Linked DNA regions of Macaca fascicularis. The protein of the gene in region 1 interacts with the protein of each later gene in a pairwise test. Links are inferred from orthologs where the notes say so. Each region holds a gene or a part of one and is shown on either strand. Other genes may lie near its edges.

What was found.
Region 2: the proteins of RBBP8 (region 1) and RBL2 interact in binary tests that used the Homo sapiens proteins (3 or more experiments, as listed by UniProt). The link is inferred for Macaca fascicularis from reciprocal best matches to the Homo sapiens genes RBBP8 and RBL2.
Region 3: the proteins of RBBP8 (region 1) and LIMS1 interact in a two-hybrid assay, tested with the Homo sapiens proteins (2 studies listed by BioGRID and IntAct). The two-hybrid records come from large-scale screens. The link is inferred for Macaca fascicularis from reciprocal best matches to the Homo sapiens genes RBBP8 and LIMS1.

The regions. Positions count from the first base shown.
Region 1 is NC_088392.1:66,777,011-66,783,524, reverse strand, and holds part of RBBP8 (DNA endonuclease RBBP8), read left to right. Parts: intron 1-2,609; coding exon 2,610-2,714; intron 2,715-6,514. UniProt on the Homo sapiens protein: Endonuclease that cooperates with the MRE11-RAD50-NBN (MRN) complex in DNA-end resection, the first step of double-strand break (DSB) repair through the homologous recombination (HR) pathway.
Region 2 is NC_088394.1:49,421,199-49,427,812, forward strand, and holds the start of RBL2 (retinoblastoma-like protein 2), read left to right. Parts: upstream 1-2,438; 5' UTR 2,439-2,533; coding exon 2,534-2,773; intron 2,774-3,592; exon of another isoform or gene 3,593-3,702; coding exon of another isoform or gene 3,703-3,720; intron 3,721-6,614. UniProt on the Homo sapiens protein: Key regulator of entry into cell division. Directly involved in heterochromatin formation by maintaining overall chromatin structure and, in particular, that of constitutive heterochromatin by stabilizing histone methylation.
Region 3 is NC_088387.1:16,158,963-16,165,476, reverse strand, and holds part of LIMS1 (LIM and senescent cell antigen-like-containing domain protein 1), read right to left. Parts: intron 6,307-6,514; coding exon 6,157-6,306; intron 4,041-6,156; coding exon 3,890-4,040; intron 3,312-3,889; coding exon 3,219-3,311; intron 1,919-3,218; coding exon 1,870-1,918; intron 373-1,869; exon of another isoform or gene 312-372; coding exon of another isoform or gene 1-311. Other genes in the region: large ribosomal subunit protein eL31-like, read left to right, coding at 1-311. UniProt on the Homo sapiens protein: Within the IPP (ILK-PINCH-PARVIN) complex, binds to F-actin, promoting F-actin bundling, a process required to generate force for actin cytoskeleton reorganization and subsequent dynamic cell adhesion events such as cell spreading and migration.

The DNA.
Region 1 (6,514 bases):
AGGCTGAGGCAGGAGAATGGCGTAAACCCGGGAGGCAGAGCTTGTAGTGAGCTGAGATCCGGCCACTGCACTCCAGCCTGGGCAACAGAGCCAGACTCTGTCTCAAAAAAAAAAAAAAAAAAAAAAGAGTTGGAGTTGTATTTTCGTTCTCTGGTTTTGTAAACCAGTGTTCATCTACTAGTTTTTATGTTATTCGATCTAGTGGAAAGAAAATAGTCACTATTCCGGTATCCCATGGTACAACTATGAGTTTAACTTCTATTCATAAAGTGACCGAGGAGGCATTTTCTGCCCGTGTTATGTATAGATACATGTTGTCTATATGACATGTAAATGTACCACATTTTATAAATATAGTTAAATAGTTTCTTTTTATTTTAAAAATATTCCTATGTGTATATATCCAAGGGGGATAGAAGGAAAAAGGAAAGGAACTTAATGTTAATTTCTACCTCCTGCGTACCACGTATTATGCTGAGTGATTTGCATATATTATTGCTATGTTTTAATTCTTGTAACAGGCTTGTGAAATAACTATCAGCTCTTTTGTTTTATAGATGAGGAAAAATATGTTTAGAAAGGTTGAATAACTCACTCAAGGTCAGCTATCATGTAGATGAGTCAAAATTCAAATACAGATCATCTTAGCTTTGAACTTTTGTACTCTCCAGATCTTGCCACATGGGTACTCCTGCCATTGGAGCTGTCTGTAACTGGCTATTTTTATTTGTTGTAATTTGTAGGAGTTAGTGGTAATCAAGAGATGGTGTTATAATGTGTCCACTTTGTGACTTTTCAGTGGCATGTTTCTAATTCTAGCCTAGTTTATCATTTCTGCTAAATGCTTTAAAACTGCCTTTTCACATAGTCCCAAAATTTGTTATGTGCCGTGATACAAGTATTACTTTTAGTATTAATCTAGAGCAAACATTAAAGACTTTAATTTTTAACCTAAACTATTTGGAACAAGGAAAGCATGGGGAGCGGGGGATATATACGGATTTCTATATTTGTATAATACAAATAAATTGTTGACAGTAAATATGCCTTTAAACAAAGAAGCAGATCTTATTCTTAAATGTTGGAACACTGGCAGTTTTACCCCATTTTATAAGCCTTTGTATCACCATCTAGTGGAGAACAGAAGAACTGTTAAAAATCCTACACTCAAATAGGAGCTAAGTTAAGATGTAAAATCATAGATCTAAAATGAATATCCGTTGACCTTTTAGTTTGCTATCAGACAGGACATGAATCATTAAAGAAATCACTGCATAATTTAGATCAGGTTTAAATTCATATATAAGGATATCTAGAAAATAATTCTGTATTAGGAAAGTCTTTTGTAACCAATATAAATGCTTCTGGTTTATTTCTTCTTTGTATGACAGCAGCATATAACTATTTAGAAATTTAATTCACTTGCTTTAATCTTGTTCTGATCAGTTTTTACTTGGAATCTGAAATTTAGTTTTAAGATGTACGATAACTTTGAGCCATACAAATGATTTTAAAATAACTTTTAAGGCCGGGCGCGGTGGCTCACACCTGTAATCCAAGCACTTTGGGAGGCCAAGGTGGGCGGATCACGAGGTCAGGAGATCGAGACCATCCTGGCTAACATGGTGAAACCACGTCTCTACTAAAAATATAAAAAATTAGCTGGTCGTGGTGGCACACGCATGTAGTACCGGCTACTCGGGAGGCTGAAGCAGGAGAATCGCTGGAACCCAGGAGACGGAGGTTGCAGTGAGCTGAGATCATGCCACTGCATTCCAGCCTGTGCAACAGAGCGAGACTCCATCTCAAAATAATAATAACAATAATAATAATAATGTAATTTAAAATGCTTTAATGACTAATTAGTCCTGTTCTCTAACTTCCCTTGCTTACTTATTGTAAGGTTTATAATGCTTTTTAATATTATTCTCAAGTTACAAATAGTAAAACTGTTTTACTTTACTTTGTCCTTATTTTGGTTCTCTTTGAACTAAATCTTTAAATATTGGAGTGATTTCTGATAACACATGCTTCAGAGTTTCCTTCCTGGAAATAAAAACTCTAAAAGATCATGGAGATAAATGATATAGTATACATTAGATGCTTAATCATTTGTTTATTGATTGATTATTTCAGATAGGGTCTTACTCTATCATGCAGGATGGAGTACTGTGGTGTGATCTGTAGCTTAATGTAGCCTGGAACTTTTAGGCTCAAGAGATCCTCCTGCCTCAGCCTCCCAAGGCGCTGGGATTACAGTCATGAGCCACTGTGCCCAGCCCAGTATACCTTTTTAAATTAACCTGCTGATGTGTAACAAATAAAAAAAGAAAAGTAACACTAAAATGTTACTACTCTGGGCAGTTTGGGTCAGAAGAAGCTGTCTGTTCTAGTCCCCTCTCTCCCAATGTCTTAACTTAAACTGCTTTGTTTCTTAGTGAAATTAAAGGAGCTTACTTCTTAGAATACAATAATTAGGTCAATAAAATGGTACTTGTATTTAAATACAGATAATACATTAAAATTTTAAATATGAATAAATAAAAATAATTTGATAATACTTTTCATCATTGTTTATTATGTAATCTCTTATTTTTTTCTCCCCTTAGAATTGAGAAAAGTTTCCAAGTCTTCAACTCATCCACAACATAATCCTAATGAAAATGAAATTCTAGTAGCTGACACTTATGACCAAAGTCAACCTCCAATGGCCAGTAAGCAAGATACTGAGATTACTTTACAAGTTTAAATTGTGGTTATTGGTGGGTAAGAGTGACCCACAGTCTAACTTAGACAATATTTTAAAGGTATTTTCCGTATAATTTTGTTTATATTACTAGTTTACTATCTTTTTCATATTGGAAAGTAATGTTATCCTATTAGTTCATATAAATATCCCTAATGATATTAATATAAATTACTAATAATTTTAAGTAAAGAAGGCTTTACTGTAATTTACTTATTTGTTCAACAAATATTTAAGCATCTGTTGTATACCAGGCACTAAATAAAACAAAGCCCTTGTCCTCATGGAGCTTATGATCTAGTTGAGGGAGAAATAAAATTTATGTCAGATAGAAGCAAGTGCTCTGAAGAAAAGTAAAGCAGGGTAAGAAGGGATATTAGAAAGCCTCACTGGTAAAGTGTCGTTTGCATAAGGACTGAGGGAGGGAAGTGAGTCACGTGGCTATCTGGGAGACGGGCACCCAGGCAGAGAGATTTGCAAGCCCAGAGGCCTTGCAGTGAAGATGGCATTTGGTTTGTTTGAGGAACATTAAGGAACCCTGTGTGGCTGGAGCAGAGTGAGTGAAGGGGAGATTGGTTTGGACAAAAGGAAAAATAGAGTTACCATTTACTGAGATGGAAGAGACTGGGAGCCACAGGTGTATAGGTTGGGGCAGGGGTGAGTAGAAATTAGAAGTTTCGTTTTGGGAATATTCCATTTGAAATGCAAACTCAACATTCAGGTAGAGTTTGGATTCGTGAGTAGATGTGAGTTAGAATTTAGAGAAGTTTAGGATGGAGACACATGGAAGTTGTCAGCATGTAGATGGCATCTAAGCCATAAAACTAAATGAGATTACCAAGCAAGTGATAATAGAAGGGAATGAGAAGTCCAAGTACTGAGCCTTGAGGAACTTCATTACGTAAAGCCATGATTTTCAACTTTTCTTTTGTTGAAGAACCCCCACCCCAGCTTTTTTAGACATTTCCCCCTCCCCCCAATCCCTTCCCTACTGGAGTTTTAGTACTACAGATATACTGTATATCTGTTTAAGTGATACGTGTATGCATGTATGTCTGTGCTTTATACATAGTAAGGTTTTTTTTGCTCCCACCTGCCCCAAACCATTTTTACTCCCTTAGAGAAAAGATTGTAGCTGTTGAGGTTGTGAAAATGAGTAGGAACCAACAAAACAGAGAAGGAGCTGCCAATGAGATAGGAAAACTAAAAATGATGTCCTTTAAGCCAAGTGGAGAGAGGACGAAGGGGTGGTCAACTGTGTTTAACAATGCTAATAAGTCAAGTAAGATGAAGACTTCTTAGAATTGACCATGGGATTTGGTTGCATGGAGATCACTGAGTGTTGAACTAGTGACATGATAAAAACTGTTAAGGTGTAATATTGACCATCTGAGATCTGTCTCATGTTCAAAGGAAGCTAAGGACAGAGAAAGTGGAAAGAGCACATACAAACAAGTCTTCCAAGACTTGACAGTCAAGAGGAGGAGAGAACAGGACAGTGGCTAAAGAAGAACATGAGTCAAGGGATGATTTTTTCAAGATGGAATATTATAGCATGATTAGCACATATTTATGTTGATAGGATGATCAAGTAAAGAGGAGAAAATTAATAATTCTGGAGAAAGAGGGAACAATTGCTACATCCTTAAAAAGGTCAGAGGAGATGAGATCCAGAGCCCAGTTGTAAGGGTTGGTCAAGGTTAATCTCTTATTCATTTTATAATAGTATAAAAGTTACATTCTGAAAGCTACAAATCATTTTATATTAACATGTGTGTCTGTTTGTCTGTCCATGAGTATGTGTGCATGTGCATGGAGGCTCCGGGTCCTCGGGATATAACACTGAGGTGCTAGGGATATAACACTGAGTGCAGCAGATCCTTGCTTCTCAGCTCTCTAGAACCAATTCTCTTCTGTTGCTGCCAGGTCTTTGCTCCATTATTTGTCCTGTCTTCCTTATACAGTATCTGCAGCTTCTCTGCTGTCATTTTTAAGTATATACACATATATGTTATCTTCCATCTTTAAAAAATAACCCCACTTTTAATAATCTCCACCTTTAGCTACAGCTTCTCTTCAGAGGTGAAAAAGTATTAAAGTCTATATTCAGTATCTCTACTTTCCTAATTCGCATTCACTCCAACTCACTGTAATATGGATTCTACTCCCACCCCCACCCGCAAGAGAGGAAGAGAGAGGGAAGGGGGAGGGAAGGAGGAAAGGAGGGGAGAGAAAAGTGCTAGAGGAGCAGGGTATAGGGGAAGGGAGGGAGACTTACAGGGGTTGAAGAGAGGAGAATGCGTTCACAAACCCTTTGTTACTGCTTACACTTGAACTGCTTCTGACTGTAAATGTCATCAGTGTTGCTGTTCTCCAAAATATGTGGTACTGTGCCTGTTCTATTTCTGTCTCTCTCTTTCTCTCTTTTTTTTTTTTTTTTTTTTTTTTTTTTTGAGACCAGGTCTCTCTCTGTCACCCAGGCTGGAGTGCAGTGGCACAAACACAGCTCACTGCAGCCTCAACCTCCCAGGCTCAAGTAATCCTCCCACCTCAGCCCCCCAAGTAGCTGAGACTACAGGCACACACCACCATGTCTGGCTAATATTTGTATTTTTGTAGAACAGGGTTTCACCATGTTGCCAAGGCTGGTCTCGCTCTCCTAAGCTCAAGTGATCCACCTGCTTCGGCCTGCCAAAGTGTTGGGATTACAGGCGTGAACCGCTGTACCTGGCCTCACTTTCTATCTCTTCCTGGAGGAACGTCACCTAGAGTCAGTAGTCTTCTCTCATTCATATGCTAATAAATCCCAAACCGGTATCTCTGTCCAACTTTTTTCCTGGATTCCCAACCCGTGTATCTACCTGCTTTTGGATATCTCTACAGGGATATCCTTCAATTTCAGCATGTCTACAGTTGACACTTAACCTGTCAAACTAACTCTTTATCCTTGCATTTGCAATCTCAGTGAATGACACTATACATGCCTCTTTGAGTCATCCTAGATTTCTGCTTCATCTGTTTTTTCTCAACAGCCTCTAAGTTTTACTGATTCTACCTCCTACATATCTGTTTTACATATTCTTCTGTGCCCCTATTATACTAGTTTAGGCTACTAACATCTCTCATCAAGACAACATGTTCTAGTAATCTAATTAGTCCTCTTGCCTATTAGTGATTGCTTCTTGCCTAGTGAGTGTCACAGCCACAAATACCTTTTCAGCCCACACATTGCATTTGTTTTATTTAAAACTCTTAGACATCTCTTCATTGTCTACGGGATAAATTTGAAACTCCTTAGCATAATCTGACCCCTAACCAACCTAACTGGGTTCATGTCCTACTCCCATCTTCTGCAGTTTGACTTCTGGCAGTCAAACCACGCATAGCAAACCCCAAACAAGCAATTTTATTTCACTTATCTAGACCCTTAATTATACCTAGAATTCTTTCTGTCCCAGTCCAGTTAACTTGACATATTCTTCCTTCTCTCGAGTCAGCTTAAGCATCACTTATAACTTTCCTTGATTTCCCAAGAGATTTAGAAGTCCTTATTCTATGTTTGAATCACCCCTTTTATGTACCTTTATTGTAATATGTTTATCACATTCTGTTGCAATTCTCTTTTTACCTTGCAACTGTATAAGCTCCTTGAGAACAAGAACTTTTCTTTTCATCTAGTGCTTAGCACAATACCTGGAACATAATAAGTGCTCCATAAATATTTGAGTTAAACCTTTATAAAATACTAGAACATAGGTGATTTATGAA
Region 2 (6,614 bases), on another chromosome or scaffold:
GATAATGATTTCCAAAGGAAGCAATATCATTATTTTAAAATTAATATCCCCAGTGTATATACAGGTAAAATACTAAGATTTTAATAAACTTATTATTTATTTATTTATTTATTTATTTATTTATTTCTTGAAATGGAGTTGTTCTGTCGCCCAGGCTGGAGTGCGGTGGCATGATCCCAGCTACCTGCAGCCTTAGGCTACTGGGTTCCAGCAATTCTGCCTCAGCCTCCTGAGTAACTGGGATTACTGGTGCCAGCCACCACTCCTAGCTAATTTTTTGTATTTTTAGTAGAAATGGGGTTTCGCTATGTTTGCCAGTCTGGTCTTAAACTCCTAACCTTAAATGATCTGCCCAACTTGGCCTCCCCAAGTGTAGGGATTACAGGCACGAGCCACCGCGCCTTGCCAAATTATTTAATATTTATTTATTTATTGAGACAGGGTCTCACTCTGTTGCCCAGGCTGTAGTGGCATGGTCACAGTTCACTGCAGCCTCCCCAGGCTTAGGCAATCCTCCCACCTCAGTTTCCCAAGTAGCTAGGACTACAGGTGTGTACCACCACACTGGGTTAATTTTTCTATTTTTCATAGAGACAGGGTTTCACCATGTCGCCCAGACTGATTTTGAACTCCTGTACTCAAGCAGTCCAGCCACCTTGGCCTCCCAAAGTGCTGGGCATTGTGAACTCCAACGCCCAGCGTATGTACTTATTTTCAGATACTTCTAAACCATTTGTGTTCAACTTCTGTTCTTGCCCCATAGTCACCTTGAGACTCATCACTCAGCCAACTCCAAAAGCATTGCTGATTACTGTGAATTTTACTAAGGTTTTCTTAAGAGGGTTTCATTGCCTCAAAATTGTTCCCGAAATATCCTGTTACCTGTCTCTACCTGATTTTCTCCTATCTTCAGGGTTCCATTTCCTGTCCTCCCGCCTGTCATTATACCTTCCATAAGCCCCTGCTTTTGTCCCAGCAATTTTCCCTGTGTCAGTTTACATGCCCCAGGAAGCAAAACAAAAATAGCAAAACAGTAATGCCTTCTTACAGCTCCTCAATCTGGAAAATGTTTTATATCAAGCTCATTTATAAATCAAGGATTGGCAATTTTAAAAATTAAAGAAAGGAGAATTCGAAAAAAAATGAATTGGTCGGGCATGGTGGCTCAAGCCTGTAATCCCAGCACTCTGGGAGGCCGAGGCGGGCGGATCACTTGAGGTCAGGAGTTCGAGACCAGCCTGGTCAACATAGTGAAACCCTGCCTCTACTGAAAATATAAAAATTAGCCGGGCGCGGTAGCACGCACCTGTAATCCCAGATATTCAGGAGGCTGAGGCAGAAGAATCGCTTGAACCCGGGAGGCGGAGGTTGCCGTGAGCCAAGATCGTGCCACTGCACTCCAGCCTGGGCGACAGAGCCAGACTCTGTCTCAAATTAAAAAAAAAAAAAAAAAAAAAAAAAAAGGACTGTCTGCCCTTCAGAGTCAGCTACCAGAAAATTCGGAGACTGGGGTTTTTAAAGAATGACTTGGCGGGTAGGGGGCCAGGGAGTGGCGAATGCTAATTTGTCAGGTGGGAGGTGAAATCTTAGGGGGTTGAAGTGGGCTCTTGCTGTCTTCTGTTTCTGAGTGGGACTGTAGAACTGGTTGAGCCAGATTATGGTCTGAGTGGCGCCAGCTCATGCATCGGAATGCGGGGTCTGAAAAGTATCTCCAGCACCAATCTTAGGTTTTACAATAGTGATGTTATCCCTGAGAGCAACTGGGGAGGTTAGGAATCTTGTAGCCTCTGGCTGCAAGACTCCTAAATCATAATTTCTAATCTTGTGGCTAATTTGTTAGTTCTACAAAGGCAGACTGATCCTCAGGCAAGAAGGGGGTTTGTTTTGGGAAAGCTTTGTAAAAATCTTTGCTTCAAAGTGAAACTACAAATTAAATTCCTCCTGTAGTTAGTTGGGTCTTCGCCTGGGAATGAACAAGTGCAGCTCGGAGGTGAGAAGCATGGAGTCATTTAGGTCAGATCCCTTTCCCAGTGGTAACTTTCTCACTGTTAGGATTTTTGCAAAGGCAGTTTCGTGAAGGTACACAGACAGGCCCTTGCTATTATCCTGGTTTTTTAGATAAGGATATCCAGGCAATGAGGAAGTTTTACTTCTGGGAACAGCCTGGATGCGAAACCTTCACACGTCAGTGTCTTTTGGACATTTTCTCGTCAGTACAACCCTGTTGAATGTTCTCACGATGGGGAGGTATGTGCTTAAAATGCGGGGAAGGTGCTTTTATTTCACCCCTGGTGAAACTAGGCGAGCTAATTTTTTTAAACATGATTTTTGGCCCCCTTGAACCGTCGGCCTGGACTACATTTCCCAGCAGGCCGTGCTCAAGACTACGGGTGCCTGCAGGAGGTCAGCGTCGTTGGCAGCGGCGCAGGCGCAGGCGCGGAGCGGGCGGCGGACGGGCGGGCGCTTCGCGGTTTGAATGGCTGCGGGCCCGGGCCCTCACCTCACCTGAGGTCCGGCTGCCCAGGGGTGCGCTATGCCGTCGGGAGGTGACCAGTCGCCGCCGCCCCCGCCTCCTCCTCCGGCGGCGGCAGCCTCGGATGAGGAGGAGGAGGACGACGGCGAGGCGGAGGACGCCGCGCCGCCTAACGAGTCGCCCACCCCTCACATCCAGCAGCGGTTCGACGAGCTGTGCAGCCGCCTCAACATGGACGAGGCGGCGCGGGCCGAGGCCTGGGACAGCTACCGCAGCATGAGCGAGAGCTACACTCTGGAGGTGCGCTCGCGGGCGGAGGGGCGCTTCCGGCCTAGTCGGCGTGAACCGGTGCCTTCCGAGCCGCGTCGCGCGCCACGAGAGACCCTCGGGCGGGTTGCGGGATCCCAGCCGGGAGAGGCGTGGGGACCCCCTCTGCGCTATTCCGAGGCACTTAGCCGCTCCGAGGGCGAACCTGCTCTCGCCGCGCTTCCCCGCGGCTTCCGAATGGGGAACGCGTTTTGCCCTAAAGTAACATAGGGAAGCTGAGATCGCGCTGGGGTCCCGATGAGGAAGATGGGTGTGTGTGGCCCATCTGACCCCCCGCCCGCCTTGTTAGTAGAATGAACTAGTGTCGTTATCAAGACCGCACGGAGAAGGGGAGGGGACTTGCCCTTATTTGCACCGCGATTAACCGGGCTGTGGCACCTGGGTCTCCAGGCGTCTCCGTCTGTTCGCTTCCCCCTGTTAACCAAATTGCCTTTGCCCAGACGTTGCTGGCGTTAGAGTCAACGAGCTGATGCGTTTTGGTCTGTGTTTACGTCTGTGTAAACAAATTAAGACTCATTTTCCCCCAGGCCACATGAAATGAGCCCTCCGCCGACCCGGATATAGATACATGCTCCCATTTGTCACTAGGCTCAGGATTGTGGCTACCTCGAGGGCTTTTTGGTCACCCCGGGCATTGCACAGGACTCCTGTTGTCGGGATCCGGGCGTGTTAGGTCGCAGCCTTCGGACTGGGCTTGTGGATGAGAAAAATGGCCATTCTAGCCAGTGACTGTTAGTTCTGTAGGCACCTCCCTTTCATGGGCCAATGGGAAGTGACACGGAAGTACGGATTGTTTATCAGCTCTTCTACTGTGTGTGTGTGGCATTTAAACCTGAGGCCATTTAATTTCTCAAGTAGTTTTATAATTACTTTGGATAAAGAGGGGGGCAAATAGGCCCAGGATGCAAAGCCTAACCAAGGTATTATTTAAATATGATGTTTTTGGCTATGTGTACTGATGAGTGAGGTTATTTTAAATTTGTATTTGCATTAATAGAATTTTGATTCAATTACGATTTCCCTCTTTGAATTGTTATATCTGCAGAAGAAAGATAGTGTATGGTGGCTTTAGAACCCGACAGACCTGGGTGACTGAACAATTTACTTAACCGCTGGAAAGTTGAGTTTTGTGATCTTTAAACTGGAGATATGTGTGTTTACCTCACAGAGCTGTTCTGAAGATTAAATAAGGCAACAATGTAGTTTCTGGCACATAAAGCACCCATATGGACGGTGCTTTCAAGTTTCCTAAGCTCTTTGTATATTTACATGATCTGGCTGAGTAAACTATGTTCCTGTCCGTCTCTCAGTGCCTTTCTGTAGTCTGGCAAAGAGAAGGACTGGTTGACTTTTTTTTTTTTTTTCTTTTTTTTGCTTTTTTTTTTTCTTTGGTAAAGGGCCTTAAAGGCTTCTAAACTAGCTTTTATTTTACCCTCAGGATGATCCTGTAAATTAGATAGAACAAGCGTTATCACCATTTAGTTGAGGTATGTCAACTCATAGTGGTTAAGTTGTATGAAGTCCAGTGATACATGAGCAAATACCACGTAAGAGCTGGTTAGTAAATTATTTTTGAAAACACATGTTTGATTACTCAATTCTTTTGATTACTGAGACTTTAGTTTCAGCTTCTTAGCCCAGTTTATTCAGTAAATGATTTACTCAGTAAAATATTCATCAAATATTTCTTGAGCACCTGTTCTCAGTGCTACACACTGTTCTCAGTGCTGGATATAGAGCATCAAACAAAGCCTAAAAATACCTGCCTTTGTGGGGCTTATAGTGAGCTACGCTGTGAGATAATGTGGGATGTCATTCTCATGGGAGTGTAAGGGGAAATAAAGCTCTTATGATATTTAATACAGAATACTGGTTATGGAAATTTAATTTGATTCATTGTATTTTCTGTGCATTTTTAACCTATAACTCATTCTTACAGTCCTCAGCCAAAAAAATGCAGCCTCTGAGACTGTTTAGTAATTTTCCCACTGTGTTACAGCTACTGTATGGCAGAGCCAGAATTTGAAACCAGATCTATTTGACCCTATAAGATATGGCCACGAGATGTTAATTTTGAGGATAACTATTTTTTAGTATTATGGAATTTTTCAACAAATATTTTTTAGGACCAAAGATAAACTAGGCAGAGTCTACTCTTTGCATAAATTGTTTAAAAGAACTTCCCGCTCCGTTTTATCATCTAAGTACGGTAAAATTCTCACAAGACTAATTCTTTTCTTCTTTTTAGGAAAGATGCAGCTGTAGACTTTCTTTTTTTGTTGTTGTTGTTTTCTCTCTGCCATCCAAGTAGTTGTGAATTTTCTAGAGCCAAAATAGAACATTATAGATTATCTTTTAAACCCTTTATTGAAGCACAGGATAATGCTATGACTGACTTAACTTTATACTTTGTAAGAGATCTTGATAGAGTAGAGAAATGCAGTAGTTATGCATCTAAATTTGCTTTTACATCATAAATCAAGAATATTATGAAACCATCTCCCAGAGACATATGTAATACATAAATCTTGGCTGTTTTTTTTGACAATAGAACATCTATGCTATTGATACATATAAGTGGGTTTGTAAGATAGTCTATGTGTAAATGTGAAAAATGAAGAATTTCCAGTTTTTCTCATTTTCATTTAGACCAGTAATGAATACAGTGAAGCCAAAGGACAGCTTCCATCCTTCCTCGCTTTTATAGGAAGAGGAAAGTTGTATCACTTCTTGAATAAAAAACGATTGTGAAGATGATCTTTTAGAAACAATGCCTTAAAAATTATTATTTTTGAATGTATCTGGTAGGGGATCCACAATAGTCTCATTTGGTTATAAAAATAAATTTTATGTATTCATGTATGTGTTTTGATTAGGTATAAAATTAGTGGCTGAATATCCATTCAAGCTTAATTTTGTATTTCTATCACTTTTCTAGATTTTGTGCAAGATTAAAAATATAAACAATAGGCCGGGCGTGGGGGCTCACGCCTGTAATCCCAGCACTTTGGGAGGCCGAGGTGGGCGGGTCATGAGGTCAGGAGATCGAGACCATCCTGGCTAACACATTGAAACCCAGTCTCTACTAAAAATACAAAAAATTAGCCGGGCATGGTGGTGGGTGCCTGTAGTCCCAGATACTTGGGAGGCTGAGGCAGGAGAATGGTGTGAACCTGGGAGGCGTAGCTTGTAGTGAGCCGAGATGGTGCCGTTGCACTCCAGCCTGGGTGACAGAGCAAGACTCCATCTCAAAAAAAATAAAAAAAACAACAACAATAATATTGTTTCCATTACTATGGCTATGTAACAAATTGCCTTAAGGCTTTGGGGCAGAAAACAATTTGTTTGGCTCACAGCTTCTGTAAGGAATTCAGGCTGGGGACAGTGTGGATGTCAAGTTTCTGCATCAAAATGACTGGTATCTCACCTGGAAGACTTGAACAACTAGGTACTGGCAGAGCTGGAGCTCATTGGGCATCTCTGTATGTTTGTTCCATGTGGTCTCACCAGCATGGTGATCCAGGGTAGCTAAATTCTTTCATGTTGGTTCAGTACTCCCAAGGTACATGTCCTAAGAGAGAGAACCAAGTGGAATCTATATTGCCTTGTATAATCTTTAGTATTACATAGTTTCACTTCCACCTCTGCTGTTGATAGAGACAGTTAATCAATGTGAGAGATGCAGACCCTTGCCCAGGTCCAAGGTGAGGGAACCCTCTCTACCTCTCAGTGGAATAATGTCAATGTCACATTATAAGAAGAGCATATGGAACTGGGTACAGTGACTCAAACCTGTAATCCCAGCACTTTGGAA
Region 3 (6,514 bases), on another chromosome or scaffold:
GAGAATACACCATCAACATTCACAAGCGCATCCATGGAGGGGGCTTCCAGAAGTGTGCCCCTCGGGCACTCAAAGAGATTCGGAAATTTGCCATGAAGGAGATGGGAACTCCAGATGTGCGCATTGATACCAGGCTCAACAAAGCTGTCTGGGCCAAAGGAATAAGGAATGTCCCATACCGAATCCGTGTGCGGCTGTCCAGAAAACATAATGAGGATGAAGATTCACCAAATAAACTCTATACTTTGGTTGCCTATGTACCTGTTACCACTTTCAAAAATCTACAGACAGTCAATGTGGATGAGAACTAATTGCTGATCATCAAATACATCAAATAAAGTTATAAAATTGAAAAAATAAAATAAAATAAAATAAAATGCATATAGCCTATGTACATTGTCTTGTATACTTTTTTTTTTTTTTTCTGAGACGAAGTTTCGCTCTTGTTGCCCAGGCTGGAGTGCAATGGTGTGATCTTGGCTCACGGCAACCTCAAGTGATTCTCCTGCCTCTGCCTCCCGAGTAGCTGGGATTACAGGCATGCACCACCACACCCGGATAATATTTTGTATTTTTAGTAGAGACGGGGTTTCACCATGTTGGCCAGACTGGTCTTGAACTCCTGACCTCAGGTGATCTGCCCGCCTCAGCCTCCCAAAGTGTTGGAATTACAGGCGTGAGCCACTGCTCCTGGTCCTGTCTCATATAGTTTAGATCATCTCTAGATTAATTACAATGCCTAGTACAATGCAAATGATATGTAAATAGTCATTATACTGTATTATTTGTATTGTTATACTGTTATTTTTCTCTAAATATTTTTGATTCATAGTTGGCTGAATCCACGGATGTTTGCATCCAGCTGTTGGATACGGAGGGCTGACTTTAATCTTTCCCTGTCCTTAAGTATCCTGTGAAGTTATAAATGTGTGCCATGTCTTACACCAGCAACTGTGCCCCCTAGACCTGGGCACATGTGGCGACTGTCCATGCCTCATGTTGTTTAGGTGAGCTTGCTGTTTCTGTCCCTACTGCTGTTGGCCCAACACGGAAATATGAACTAGGTATATAATTTTCAAAAATCCAGACATTAACTTATTCGCCCCTGTAGGAGTCTTTTTTCCAGAGCTGGTAACAAGACAGCTTCCTTTGCAGCTTCTTTCACCTGGCGTCTGTTTCACAGAGGAGGGAGGTAAGTTTTATTTTCAATGGCACTAAAGATTGTTTTCCTGGGTTGTTTTCACAAACTGCACATGAACAGTGTTTCAAAAGTATTTCCTGAATTAGGTGATGTCTGCAGGGAGCCATGAATCATGCTGAAAACAGGATTGTTCAAAACTTTGCCAGGAAGTCTCTGGCAGAATTGTGTTAGCGACTGTTAGCAAACACAGCTGCTTCCTTTCTGTTCCAATCAATCAGCCCAGCCTAATTACCAAAGTACATTACCAAAGGGTGGTAAGTCCTAGATATGCTTGCTGATAACTGCCAGGTTTTAGTATATGGAGGTTAAAGTGCCTCTTCCTAACTACAATAGCAGATGAAACCGTTCCTAATAAACGTTGTTGTAGAGTTTCCTGAAACTGGACACAGAAACTAGTCTTAGGGTCCACCAGGGACAGTTCCCATGATTGCTGGCATACAACACTGTGGTAGTGACCGGAAGTAGTATCATAAATCAGTAACAAATCCAACTCTTTGATACTATCATCTTACTGCTACAGATTACTTGGGAAATATGCCAAAGAAAGAGAAAAAGCAACTGATAACGATCATATTCCAAACAATAGCAATCACCAACCTGAATTTCCACATTACCCTAGTGTTTTTGTGTCAAAGTGGTACGAATCTAAAACTCACACAGATACTTACCATCACCTTCTATAACACGATTGCAGTGGAAGCAAACATCACCAAATAGCTGAAAATACAAAAAGGTGGTCAAAGTTCAAGATGTGTTAAATATTTTAGAACACTGAACATTTAAAAATAGCTGGTTATCTAAATTGAGAATTTATCACTACTAGAGAAAATTAGTAAAAGTTCTTTGACAAGTTTTTACTTCTTACAATGAAAGTAATTCACTGTCATCAATTAAAAAGAAAAACTTTCCAGATGACAGTTTGAACACCCAAATAAGTAATGCAAAATACAGAAATCTGTGAGTCCATATGGATAAGAAACAGATAAATGAATAAACCTATAGATAGGAGAGGAGGTGGGCTGTTCCTCAGGCAGAGCCCTGAGGTGGAGACTATGGGTGGAGGATGTGGGGCTGGAGAACTGTCGTTTGCAGCTGGCACAGAGACAAGAATCATCAAGGGGTGCTAAATCTAGGGCAGGTTGATGAGGAACAGGACATTTCCATGGTCATAAAATGAATGCCCACAGATTGCTTCTTTCTTACAAAAGAGGGAAGGAAATTGTAATTCATAGTGATGTTATCGGCCAGCACCATGCCTGGGAGATCACCAGTGGCAGGAGAGGTATAAAGTGCTCCAGAGACAAGGTTCTGAGAGGATGCCTGCCACTGTTATGGGGCTGCAACCTGCTGTGTATAACCTCATCTAAGCACAGAGAAGCAGCAGGTGAACCCAAGTGGAAAGTAGTCTATTAAAAGGGGGTAGGGGCCCTCTGTACCCCTCCAAAATGTCAATGTCATCAAAAATTTGAAAAGGCTCTGGAAATATTCCAGATTTAAGAAGGCTAAAGAAACATCACAACCCCAGGCTGGGTCCAGTCTGGGAGTGGAAAAAGTGCTGTGAGGATGTTACTGACTCAAGCGACAAAATTGGAATAAATGGGTTAAAGTATGGTATCAATATTGATAACTACGATTATGTTAGAGAGTCCCATATTCTTGGGAAATATACACTGAAGTATTTAGGGGTAAAGGAGTATGATGAACTTACTGGCAAATGCTTTAGAAACGGCCATCATACTTGTATATAATATTTACGTAAGTACGTGTTTTACACAGGAAGACCGAGCGCGGGAAACGATAAAGCGAACTGTGGACTTGAATGAAAGGCATACAGGTATTCTTTGTATTTTCCATTTTATAGTTAGCTTCTGAGTCTGAAATTATTTCCCAAATACAAAGTTAAAAACAAATTTCTACTGAACAATGTACATCTTCCAAGAGATTTACTTGTAGTTAAACTACTGATAAGCTTAGGTTCATAAAAGTCTATCTGGCACCCAGTGACTAAGGTCAATACCTGGTTATAGTGGGTTTCACAATACGCCAGGCCTTTCCTCTCGTAATGGCGATGTCCAAGAAAGGGTTTCTCACACTTGGCGCACACAAAATGCTGAAAAGAAAAACTGCTATAGGTCATTTTTGAATTGCCATATTTTATATCTAATAAAGGAAACCCCGAAGTTAACCTATTTTCAGAGAAGACGAATGAAAGTTTGAGACAGTCATTTCATTTGGCCATAAGTGGCCTCATAATATAATACTTTCGCAGTTTTAATTCAGGTGTCTGTCTTTAAAGGTTACTTTAAGACATAGCCTATTACAATAGCCCAAAAAGAGAACAGAGGTGAGCATCTCAGTAGCACCTATAAAGGACGAGCTGCTGCTGGATATAGACCGTGGCACTTCCTGCTTCAAGAAGGCTTTAGGAGCAAAAGTGCACATCCTGTATCATTACTGAGACATTCACAAAAGCAGTGTACATTCTATATTCTTAACTGTCAGCAAAGTCAATTGTCTTTAAAATGTCCATGTTTAATCTTTAGACTCTCCTAATCTTGCCAGGACACCTGAATCACAGAGATTTGAAAGTACTAGTTACCCCTGAATCATGAAGATTTGAAAGTATTGGTTACACCTTAATCATGGAGATTTGAAAGAACTGGTTGCCCTTTGCCATTCAGAACTCACCTCCACATGCCACTGCTTGCCCATGGCGTTCACCACGCGCCCTTCAATGGGCCGTCGGCAAGCGCCACAGATGGGGACCCCCATTTTATCATGGCATGGCAGGCAGTACAGCTCCCCTTTCAGCTCCCGTGCATCGGCAGTCAGTTCCTTCCTGTCCATGAGAAAGACAGCCAGCTTAATACTAATACTAAGAGAGAAAAACGGCCAACCGATGGGGCTAGCACACTTTTCAGGTTTTTAAAGACATTACTATGACGATTCCTGCAAACTTCTTTTTCCCCCTTTAGAGGTGATCAGAGTAACCTGAATTAATAGGCCCGAACAGGTTTCAGACTCCTACCAAAAAATCTGTATCTTAAAAGGATAAGATGCAAGACTAGGTCAGATACACACCAACACACCAGGCATATTCATCATTTCCTTCTTATATTATCACATTACATTTTAGTCCATTTGCCTTCCTTTAAAAGTTACAGGGAATAATCACAGTGCTGAGGGTAGACTCAGTAATACTACCTGCTATGGTGTGACTGTGCCCTCCAAAGTTCATGATTCCCAGTGCAGGTGTTGGGAAGTAAGACCTCTAAGGGTTGATTACATCATGAAGGCTCTGACCTCACGGATGGATTAATGCTGTTATTGAGGGGGTGGGTTCCTTATAAAAGGACGAGTTCAGCCTCCTTCCTTCTCTTCCTTCCCCCCTCTTCTCTCCCCCACCATGTGATGCCCTCTGCTATGTTTTGATGCAGAAGGTCCTCACCAGATGCCAGCCCCTTGATCTTGGACTTTCCAGCCTCCAGAACCATGAGCCAAATACATTTCTGCTGGTTACAAATTACCCAGTTTGTGGTATTCTGTTATAAGCGCATACAATAGACTAAGACATGACCTTTCCAAGCAAACTGAGAAGTTGGGAGACTAGTTCCATTTACTAACATATTTAAATTGTCACAAGCTGTTGAAAAGAGTTATAGGTTAACAGGTTTATTTTCATAAACAATAAAATTCCCAGAATTTCCTTCTCCAAATACTCAAATTAAATATTATTTTCAGTCTCCTGCATCAATAAACATTTGGTCAGAGATGGTCCCAATTAGTCAAATGGATTTGTTCGGATTTCACCCCTTTTATGTAATTCTCTAGGAGAGATGCTAATGAAAAGTGGACAGAGGAGAATCCCCCAAGAGGAAGGATAGGTAAGAAAATGAAGTAAGGCACAAACTGATAATTCATTCATAAAAGATGAGATGGCTGAACTTATACGACCAAACTGTTTTCTTTTTTTTCACTTTTTTTTAATGAGACGGAGTCTTGCTCTGTCATGCAGGCTGAGTGCAGTGGTGCGATCTTGGCTCACGGCAAGCTCCGCCTCCCGGGTTCACACCATTCTCCTGCCCCAGCCTCCCGAGTAGCTGGGACTACAGGTGCCTGCCACCATGCCCGGCTAATTTTTGTATTTTTAGTAGAGATAGGGTTTCACTGTGCTAGCCAGGATGGTCTTGATCTCCTGACCTCGTGATCTACCTGCCTCGGCCTCCCAAAGTGCTGGGATTACAGGTGTGAGCCACCACGCCTGGCCAGTTATTGCTAATTTTCTCAGGCACAATAAGAGTATTGTGGTTCTGACCAGGTGCAGTGGCTCATGCCTATAATCCCAGCACTTTGGGAGGCTGAGATGGGTGCACTGCTTGAGCCCAGGAGTTTGAGACCAGTCTGGGCAACACAGCAAGACTCCATCTCTACAAAAAATTAAAAAAGGGTGGCGTGTGCCTGTGGTCCCAGCTATTCTGGAGGCTGAGGGGGGAGGATTGCTTGAGCCCAGGAGGATGTGGCTGCAGTGAGCTATGACTGCCCACTGCACTTCAGCCTGGGCAATAGAGCGAGACCCTGTCTCAAGAGAAAAATAAAAAAAATTAAAAATAGTATCGTGGTTCCATAGGAAAATGCCCTTATTCTCAGGAGATATATACTGAGAGTCATGAGAAATTTTAGAGGTATGTGTATACATGCACACGCACACACATACACAGGAGGGTGAAACGAGAATGTACTGTATACACACAAGCCTGGCAAAATGTTAACTGGTGAAACAAAATTAAGGGTATACAGGTTTCATTATATCATTCTCTTAACTCTTCTATAGTTTAACATTTTCTAGACTAAAAATTGGAGAAAAACAATTTGGTTTGCTAGAGTAACAGAACTATAGATAAATGTAGTCTTTCATTCCCACTGCTTGTGTAATAAAAAAGAAACAATTCCAGTACCCGCAGTTGGCACAGTTGAAATGGTCTGGATGGTAGGGGTCGTTCTTGAATATCAGAGGCTGCTCGTCGATGATAGCATGGCATTTCTGGCAGATATATTTCCCAAGGCCTCTCGCTTTCTCACGATTATGACAGGGGCGACACAGGTGTCTAAACAGAGCCAAAACTTAAATTTAAAATTTTAGGTTCTTTCTAATGGTTAAAAAGAAATATGCTTCCCTTATCTCTGAAAAGAAATTAAACACACCATTTCTTAAAAAAATCACTCCTGTGCTTAACAGAGCAGAATCAAGCTACACGAAAATTGTGTTCCAACCCTAATATCTGACTGATTTTCATGAAACTCCATCTAGGCACA